Linked DNA regions of Caenorhabditis elegans. The protein of the gene in region 2 interacts with the protein of the main gene of each other region in a pairwise test. Each region holds a gene or a part of one and is shown on either strand. Other genes may lie near its edges.

Evidence for each region. The genes of interacting proteins can lie anywhere in the genome.
Region 1: the proteins of pat-10 (region 2) and ZK632.12 interact in a two-hybrid assay, tested with the Caenorhabditis elegans proteins (one large-scale study listed by BioGRID).

The regions. Positions count from the first base shown.
Region 1 is NC_003281.10:9,828,653-9,833,651, forward strand, and holds ZK632.12 (uncharacterized protein), read left to right. Parts: upstream 1-2,149; 5' UTR 2,150-2,185; coding exon 2,186-2,201; intron 2,202-2,248; coding exon 2,249-2,641; intron 2,642-3,120; coding exon 3,121-3,329; intron 3,330-3,377; coding exon 3,378-3,518; intron 3,519-3,564; coding exon 3,565-3,606; 3' UTR 3,607-3,771; downstream 3,772-4,999. Other genes in the region: ZK632.11 (uncharacterized protein), read left to right, coding at 1-72, 121-265, 310-519, 565-960.
Region 2 is NC_003279.8:5,017,862-5,022,443, reverse strand, and holds pat-10 (EF-hand domain-containing protein), read left to right. Parts: upstream 1-2,357; 5' UTR 2,358-2,380; coding exon 2,381-2,383; intron 2,384-2,451; coding exon 2,452-2,503; intron 2,504-2,553; coding exon 2,554-2,660; intron 2,661-3,067; coding exon 3,068-3,223; intron 3,224-3,273; coding exon 3,274-3,441; 3' UTR 3,442-3,462; intron 3,463-3,517; 3' UTR 3,518-3,661; downstream 3,662-4,582. Other genes in the region: C46H11.6 (PDZ domain-containing protein), read right to left, coding at 29-364, 669-862, 1,354-1,567.

The DNA.
Region 1 (4,999 bases), on a different chromosome or scaffold from region 2:
TATTCCGGAGCACATTTATCGAATGAGAAGACTTGGGTTAATCGATGGATATCCGCCAGGCTGGTTGAGAAAGTATGAAAATGGTAAATTTATGCAATTTAATATTGTTATTAATTTCAGATCAATCAAATCCACCGATCAATTGAAATTCTTCGACTCGACATCCAAAGAAGATGATGAAATGTCAGTGAAGCCTCCTGAATTAGATACATCGAAAATTGTATGGTATCCAGGATTCAATGGAGAACAATCTTCTCTAAATGATGTAAGAACAAATATGTTGTCACTTTAGAAATTACATTTTTATAGCGTGAAGACTTCAAGATTCCACCAAGAGATGTATTTTGCTCAGTTTATCAAGATGAATTGCTGAAAATATTCAAGAAAAGTGAAAAAGCGGAGAAACGAAGAGCCAAATCAACTCCGAAACATAAAAAGTTCGCTAATGAAGATGATGATGATGTTATAGTAATCACAAGTGATGAAATCAAAATTGACAAGTTCAATACTCCGGGAGAAGTAAATTAAATTAAAATAAAAATTCAATATCAGTTACTTTTCCAGGAAGATTCCATTATAATACTCGACGGCTCTGCTTCAACAGAAGAAAAACACCTTTTGACTCCGATTCGAAAAGATGTAAAACTAGGAGAATCGATGTTTGAATTAATCGGAACTCCAGTGTTTGGTAGCTCTCTTCTTACTCCTGTTGCTCCACTTGAAGCGTTTGCCGTCGGAATTCAACCATTTGAAGCAAGAGAAGAACTTACTGGATGCAAGGGAAACTTCAGAAATCTCATGGACAAATTGAAAGAAATCCGCGAAAATAACTTCGTTCCGGAGCCTGAAGAAGAAGTTATTTTGGTTTCAACGAATGAAATTTCGTCGTCGAATAACTCTGGAACTGCTAAGAACAAAAATAATCAGAACAGGAAAAGAAATAGAAGACATGCTAAATGAATTGGCTTTTTGAAAAATCCTTTTGTTGAATTATTGTTGTTGCTTAAAATTGTTGTTGTTGTTCCATATTTTTACGCAAAACTACCATGATAAAACCTTTTTTCTTGATTTTCCAACCTCTCTCTTGTTGTAAATGGTTCCGAATGTCCACAATCTTCTATTTTGGTCATCAATTATATCTTTATCTCTGCGTTTCTTTCACTCTTGCCGCTTTCCGATGGATTGGTGACACACAGCAAATATCGGTTTTCTCAATTTAAACTAAATTGGTCTAATTGGCTTATGTTTAATCAGATTATTTCGAGAAACCTGTGAATATTAAAAAGATGGTATAGGTTTTGAGGGATTTTTTGCCGAATTTATTTTTTAGAAAGTGATGGAATTTTTTATGATTGCAAATTTTTTTAAAAATTATTTAAAAACGAGCTGAATTATTTTTTGAATTCCCGCGCAAACGAATTCCTAAAGTTTCGACGTTTTCAGGTTATATTATTAAGGTTTTTATTAAATTATTGATTCGAAACATAATTTTGTAAAACTTTCATACATTTTTTCCCGCAAAACAAGTTTACATTATTGATTTGAGGCCAGATTTAGAGTTTCAGAGAAGTTCTTTAGATTAACAAAATAAAATAAAAAGAAACCCCAATTAATATAGCCGGAAAAAGCAAAAAATATCGAAATTGTGTAGATCACTTGCGCGGGAATTCAGAAAAAGTTTAGCCTTTTTAATCATTTTTTTTCCAAAATTGAAAAAAATCATTTAAAACAATGTTCAAATTTTGTAATTTTGTTACAGTTATTTTCGGTAAATATATTGAGATTGTTATTGTTAATTAGAAGGAAAACCTACAAAATCTGCTCCCATACCATGCATAACTATATTTAAGATCCGAAATCTTATTCAAAAAAGTAATAAAATTAATTGAAACCTTTTTTCCAGGCCACCAGTTGTTCTTATCATTCATTCGTGACAATTTATTCATTGCATTCTTTTTCTTTCGTTCAGGCAGCGGTCCACTGGCTTGTCCATCCGATTGTTTGCACATAAAGTGTATGATGACTCATCACATTCCTTTTCCCTCTCTTCTTATTCTGTTCTCACTCAAAATAATTTTTTGTTATGATTTTCAACCTTCTTCGTCTCGAACTAAATTTATGAATTTTTTGAAATATTCAAAGTTTTCAGCGGATTCTTTCCATCGTTTCTAAATCACAAAACACAATGGTTGATCGACTTGGTAAGTTTTATTTATTTTCTTTTATAAAATAATTTATTAAATTTTAGTGAATAGTGAAGTGAATTCCCGTCGAATGGCTAACGTAGAACAATGCTTTGGAAAAATGGGAGAACAATTGTCGGTATTCGGACGAGTTCTTGTCGGAGAAGGTGTTCTTGTGAAAATGTGCCGAAAGAAACCGAAGCAACGGCAATTCTTCTTGTTCAATGATATTCTTGTATATGGAAACATTGTGATTTCGAAAAAGCGATATAATAAGCAAAGAATTCTAAGATTGGAAGGTGTACAAGTAGAAGATCTGGAAGACGATGGAATTGAGAAACATGGATGGATTATTAAGACACCTGCAAAATCGTTTGCAGTTTATGCAGCAACTGAAACTGAAAAACGAGAATGGATGTTGCATATTGAGAGATGCGTTACAGATCTCCTTGAAAGAGGTAATACACGAAAATTATTTTCAAAAAATTTCCACCAAAAAATTGCAGAGAAAGTTTGAAACCACCGTAATCTTTAAAGGCGCTTACCATTTTCCGTTTCAAAAAATCTTGTCGTTTCGAGACCGAAAACCGTATTTTTAATGCAACAATCGCAACATTTTTCGTCTAATTAATATTAAGCTTAAATAAGTCTTAGGCGCATTGTGGTCTTTTTATTTAAAAAAATGTTGGCAGCAATGTTCAATTTAATTTATAAATTGTGATGCAAAATTGGTCCATAGATCGACAAGTTACAGTAATTTGTTGTCCGCCTGGCGAGACCCATGCGCCTAAGATAGGTGAAAAATTCTCATATTTAAATGACCAATAATATACGTTCTACAAAAAAATTGGGAATCACCATATCTCTAAATTAAAACGGTTTTTTAGATAAATTATTTTTTTCTATTAAAAATACAATCAAAATTTTCTACTTTCAGGAAATAAGCAAGCCGCGACTGCTCACGCAGCTGTATGGGTTCCCGATGGTGAAGCAGTGAAGTGTATGGTCTGCGGGAAAACTCAATTCAATCTGGTTCAAAGAAGACATCACTGCAGAAATTGTGGACGTGTCGTGTGTGGCGCCTGCTCATCGAGAACATTCCGTATTGACAATGTACATAAGAAGCCTGTCCGAGTTTGTGATCATGTACGGTGAAGTTTGACACTTTATCGTCTAAATATCATGATTTTTCAGTGCTTTGACAGTCTGAGTAGTGCCACACCAGGACAAGAAGAAAGTGAACCAAAAACGGGAAATCGCTTGCACCATGAGGATTCCTCCTCGGATAGTGAAGACGAGGTCAATGGTAGTGGACGATCGAGTAATGAGAGCCGGGTATACTGAATATTGCCTAATCTTTCAATAAACATACAAATTTCAGCCAACATTCTACCGTGAGGACGTTCAGCAGCCGGCAACATAGTTCAACGCATATAAACTACGATGAAAATTCTAAAATCCACGTCCTCATTCCTACTACTAAATTAATATTATATTTTCTTAAACGTTCCTGTGATATACAGCAATTGTACGTATTTTTTTTTGTTGCTTCCAACGACTTTTACAATTCCTGAAAAAAAGTTATTTCCTTTTTCTTCAATTCAAGATTATTCAGAACTGCACAAAATTAAAACGACCACATGACAGAAGGAATCATTTTAATAATCATGAATTACAGAAATGATCAAATTTCTTGTCCTTACAAGAAACAGCGCAATTAACTGAAGTGTTCAGAGAAACGTATGGTCCATTCGGCTTGGAATCATATAAATGTTCTTAAATTATTAAAAGTAAAATAAATGTTTTATTTACATATGATTAGTGAAATCAGAGCACAAAAGTGTGCAATGAAAAATAAATTTTATTTTCTGGAGTACTGTAAGCGGGCACATGGTGTATTGTACGCAGAGTTCTTCGAGTGTTTGCGTATCCACGTTGTTCTCCACGTGGACAAAACGCGCGGCACGTTTACTTTCTGAAAATTCGTTTTATTTTTGCATTACTGTCTTCTTAAAAGCTGAAAATGGCTGCAAACGAAGTGTAAATTTCATAAATTCCTAAGCTTTTATTCATATATATATATATATATATATTTCATCATGTCCTATTTTTGCAGTGATTCCATGGAACCAGGAGAATTGATGGAAGTGGATACGAGCCAGGAGCTGGATGAAAACACTTCGGCGAAGGAAACGGACCAGCCGAGTTCGTAATAATGTTACCATTCGAAATAACCTTGTTCAAAAGTTTTCAGAAGATGCTCAAAATGATCCAGAAATTGTATGCGGCGATAGTAATGAGGTCAAGAAGGAGTCTCCGAGTGTAGAAGAGGATCAGTCAAGTACTGAAACTATGTCTAATGAATTTGAAGTGGCCGCTGCAATTCTCGAACAAGAAAACGAAGATTCCGGTCAGAACGCCCCCAGTTTGGGAGAATTGCTGTCTCGGAGTGTGAAGTTAGAAGCTTTTTTTGTTACTTATTTTAAAAACATCATTTCAGTAATTACCACCCTGAACATTACTCTTCACCACCTCTCATGCGTAAACCCGATTTCCGTTTTCCAATCATTAATCCTGGTTTGTAGAAAAACACGTTTACTTAAAAGATATTGTGAATTACAGAGAAAGCTCAAGGAAAACTATTCGTTCTCTATCAGCTGATTATTACCGTTCCGGACTCGTTGAAGAAATTTCCTCCGTACACATCAGAAACAGTTTGCTGCCAACTGTGCGGAATCGATTTGATGGGATCAGCTATGTTTGCTCATCTGATCACTATCCAACATCTTAAGTTATAGAACTGCTTGTTCTCAGAG
Region 2 (4,582 bases):
CGGTACAATTTGAAGAAAAAGTCCTCACCCGACCAATACATATCGCGTCGTTTGCCATCTTAACATCTGGATCTGGAGCAACTGACTCAATCAAATGACGAAGAGTGTTTGCAGATTCCACAGAAACCGGTCTTTCAACCAAAAATGTGACTTTTTCTCCTTTCAAAATTCCCGACAGTTTCTCACGAATGAAGTCGTCATTTTTCTCTGCGTTCAGAATGGATTCTTCATTTATATCCATTATCAGATCCCCACGACCAAAGAATATCGAAGCGAGTGAGCTGGGCTCGATTCGAGTTACTATGCCACGTTTTTGAATATATGTCACTGTAACTCCAACCGTTGCACTTTTCATTGCGGAAGTCTGGAGTAAATGGTATTTATTAAGGGGTGGACATAAGTTCTAGGTATAATCCAAAGTTATTTTAAACAATTATTTTATGAGAATTTTTGTTGTCAAGCAACAAGCAGTTCGTCACATTTCGTCAAAAAAACTTTCATAATTTCGTCTTTAATTTTTTAAATTAAAAACAATTCATACTCAAAAAACATGCAAAATTCTAGAATTTAATTGGTCATTCTGTAACTCCGTTCAAAACCTCATTGCAAAGTTCAGATTTCGTATATTTTCGAATAAGATAATCATGTCGATTTTTCTTCAATTATACCTTTTCAACTTCAATAACAAAGCACGTATTGTCCCGTCTCAAAACACATCCCGATTTCTTCAACCGTTCTCTGGTCGCTGGGATAATATTTTTCCGTCTTGTAACCTCAACACTACATGTTTCACCTTTCATGAGCTCTGTCTGATACTTGGATATATTTCCACTGGCACCGTTCACCTTGACTATTTTGTCGCCTGAAAGAAAAGTATTTTTAATCTAGTTTTTTAAACTGGTTTAATACATTAATTGGAAAAGTGTAAAGTGGAAAAGAAACTAGGGAGTCTTCCGAGGAAAATTGACTTTTCCTGGCTCAAAATGTATAATTGTGGACAGAAGAGTTTTGAAACCCTTGTACCAGTCAAACCAATTTTTGCCTATTATTTTATCGGGGATAAATATACATTTGTTCGGCAAAACATCACAACTTCATAGCAAACTCTTGCAACTTGAAACAAACATTTATAAACAATTGCCAAGAGATGTTACAAAGTTGCAAAAACCGGAGCAGTTCTAAGCGAAATGTTTCATAAAGTTTGCCAAAAGAAATTGCAAGAGTCATCTGAAAAGCTGCAGAAATTTGTTAGAAAACTAAAGTAAATAATGGTTTGTAAGAAGTTGCAAGATTCTGTTATGAAGTTGGCCCGCTTCAAAATAGTTTCGGGTTATCCGGCCGTTGGAAACTTACTCAATATCAATCCATTGTAAAACGAGTTTGTTGATAGGAAAGAAACCATCGAATTCTCATTAATTCTAATAACTTCATTCGCAGGCTTTCCGACATCTTTTTCATCAATCTTGAATGAAACTGTCATATTTACAGTTTCCACATTCTGTGGGATCGGTGTCAGCCAACATTCTTTCATCTTTTTGTTCGTATTCTGCACTTTTTTCTTCGACATTCTTCTTCAAAAGAAATAACGTTTTCCGAAGTTACTTGTTAGCTCCAAACTCACGATTATGGTTTCCTTTTGAAATCCGGAAATTTAGTGTCAAATGATAAATAAGAATGATTAGAAATCTACCTCCTCCCCCTCGACTAAACTGAATTGGAAAAACATAAAGTTTAAATTCAAAATGGTGTGTCACGCGATAAAAAGTTACTGGAGAAACTTGAGAATTATAAAATAGTATTCAAATTAAACGTTTGATATAAAACTGTAAAGATATACATACTCAGTGCACATTTAAAAAAACTGAAAAAAAAACGTTGTTGTGTTCTGAAGCCCAAAAAGGCTAGATGTTCTGGTCACCATGTACAGCTAAGAATCCAAGTATTCTGGGAAAGTTCAATTACATATATTGCCTGTCAACTCCATTTCTGTACTTAATTCTACTCCAATTATATTATTTTTTTTCTATTTCCTGGACTTTTATTGATCCTTGGTTGCCTGTCCCCCCAATCTTTCTTCGTACTCTCCTCCCGTTTCCCCTTCCTTCTCGGAGAGCCTTGTCTCTCGAATCCTGTGTTTCGCAAAAATCATCGTCAACTTCCACACAGATATCATTCTGCGTCTCTTCGCCCTCTATGATCTCTCATGCCCGTTGATCAGGAGCATCTGTCACCCAGTGTAACACCAAGAATGTGTTTTGTGGAGGAGACGATGATGCCGTTGTGAGAAAGAAAAGCCCGCCCTCGGGTTCCTCCGCCTACTCGCTCCCGCCGTTGCTTCTGCCCGACGAAGCTTATCCAGAGCACAACAAACTCCGACAACATGGTGAGTCCCGCTTTCTCATGTCTTCAATAAATTTCTTTTTGAATTTTTATATGTTTATACTTTTATAGGCTGAGGATATCGAAGAGATTCTTGCTGAAATCGACGGATCCCAAATTGAGGGTAAGATATTTTATATTTATGATTGAAAAATCATCATTAAAACTTTCTAGAATACCAAAAGTTCTTCGATGCCTTCGACAGAGGAAAGCAAGGATACATCATGGCCACTCAGATCGGTCAAATCATGCATGGAATGGAACAGGATTTCGATGAGAAGGTAAATCATTTTGGAACTTTTGGTTTATGTAGAGTTAGGGGATCTTCAGAAGAGTGATAATTCAAATTAGGAAGTTTTCAACTCTTTTAAATTTAGGTTTCACGGTAATGATTAGGTAGGCCAACTGAGTAAGATAACCGAAAATATAAATGGGTTACTCTTGCCTAAAATTTTGTTTTTATCCGACCTATCTTCTGCGGCTTGTTTCTCAACTGAATTCAATTAATTTTCGCCACTAAAACATGTTACTAATGTTTGTGAAATAATTAATTTTGATATTCCATCTGAACAAAAGCATTTATTATGTCGACTAAAGTAAGATATAACTATATGTTATGAAATTTAGTTATAGAATTGATGATTTTGATTTTTCTAAATCTATGTGGCATCTAACTTCATTCTTTTAGACCCTTCGTAAACTGATCCGCAAGTTCGACGCTGACGGTTCCGGAAAGCTCGAGTTTGACGAGTTCTGCGCTCTCGTGTACACCGTTGCAAACACTGTCGACAAGGAAACATTGGAGAAAGAACTTCGTGAAGCTTTCCGTCTTTTCGACAAGGAGGTTTGTACTTTTAGATTTTGCTTTTTATTCTTTAATTATTAATTTTTCAGGGTAACGGATATATTTCTCGACCAACTCTGAAGGCTCTTCTCAAAGAAATCGCCGATGACCTCACCGATCAACAACTCGAGGAGGCTGTCGACGAGATTGACGAGGACGGTTCCGGAAAGATTGAGTTCGAGGAGTTCTGGGAGTTGATGGCTGGAGAGTCTGATTAAATTTTCTAATTCCTTTAAAATGTAAGTGTTCGAGCTTTTTTTGATTTTATTCAAAAACTAACTTTTTATTTTTCAGCGCTGATCTACAATCTTCAACTGTGGGGACCAGTCACCAACTTTTCATAATTTCCTTTTTCTTGAAATGTTAAATTCATTTCACTTTTTATTAATTTTCTTGTCATTCTTTTGAATGAATAAAAATGAATAAAAGTCTTTGTACATCCACAGGCTTATTGGAAGAGTGTGACCAATTTGAAACGGCCAAAATCAGGAAATAATCAGAAGAACTAGACTTCTCAAATCCTTTAACACAACATCAAATCCGCAGTATAGTGCTCCGTTTTCTCTTGACCTAAAAAAACGGGAAAAGTCCATCTACGGGGAATGGAATGACAAATCTCTATAAATATAGAGATTCACCGTTGCAACCTTGTTGTTTGAAAGTGAAGTGTCTCTAAATAGAATGAAAATTATGAAAAATGGAAAATGTATTAAATCACTGCAAATGAGACCTCTACTCTGCGGCATTACAGTTTTTACCGTTTTAGCGCAACAGGACAGTTTTTGTAAATTTGCAAAAGTAAAGTGACAATTCTCTATGTAGATTTTCTACGAATGAATTTCAGGATACTTGTGAACTTGCAAAACAGTTTTTCACTATTTCAATTGTTCCAAATCTAAATTCAACAAATCCCTCTCTTTTTCTCTATCTGTGCTCAACTCTTTTCTATATAAACTTAGTGTAACATAGGCTTTATCTTTTTCTATCCACTTTCCCACCAATATCCCTCCAGGAATAGAAAAGGGATTAACGGTGGAGACTCCAAATAGTGTCCATCACATGCAGCTACTATTGCTCCAGAAGCCCTTCACGAGTCTCTCTGCCGTCTCTTTGCTTATCAGAGCCCAGATACTTACTATGGAAACCATCAGATGGGAAAACGAGAAGAAGAAAGCAGATGTAAATATAAATTAGAAAATAAGAAGAAGAAGAGACAGACATAGAGTTGTCCCTCCGTTTCTCTTTCTCTCACTCCCTTTCAAAGCGCCACGTGTTAGTTTCTTTGAAGTAGGTACAAATATTAGGATGCTCTCAATGTCTATAATGTATCTGGTTTACTGTAATTCTATGTCTCTCATT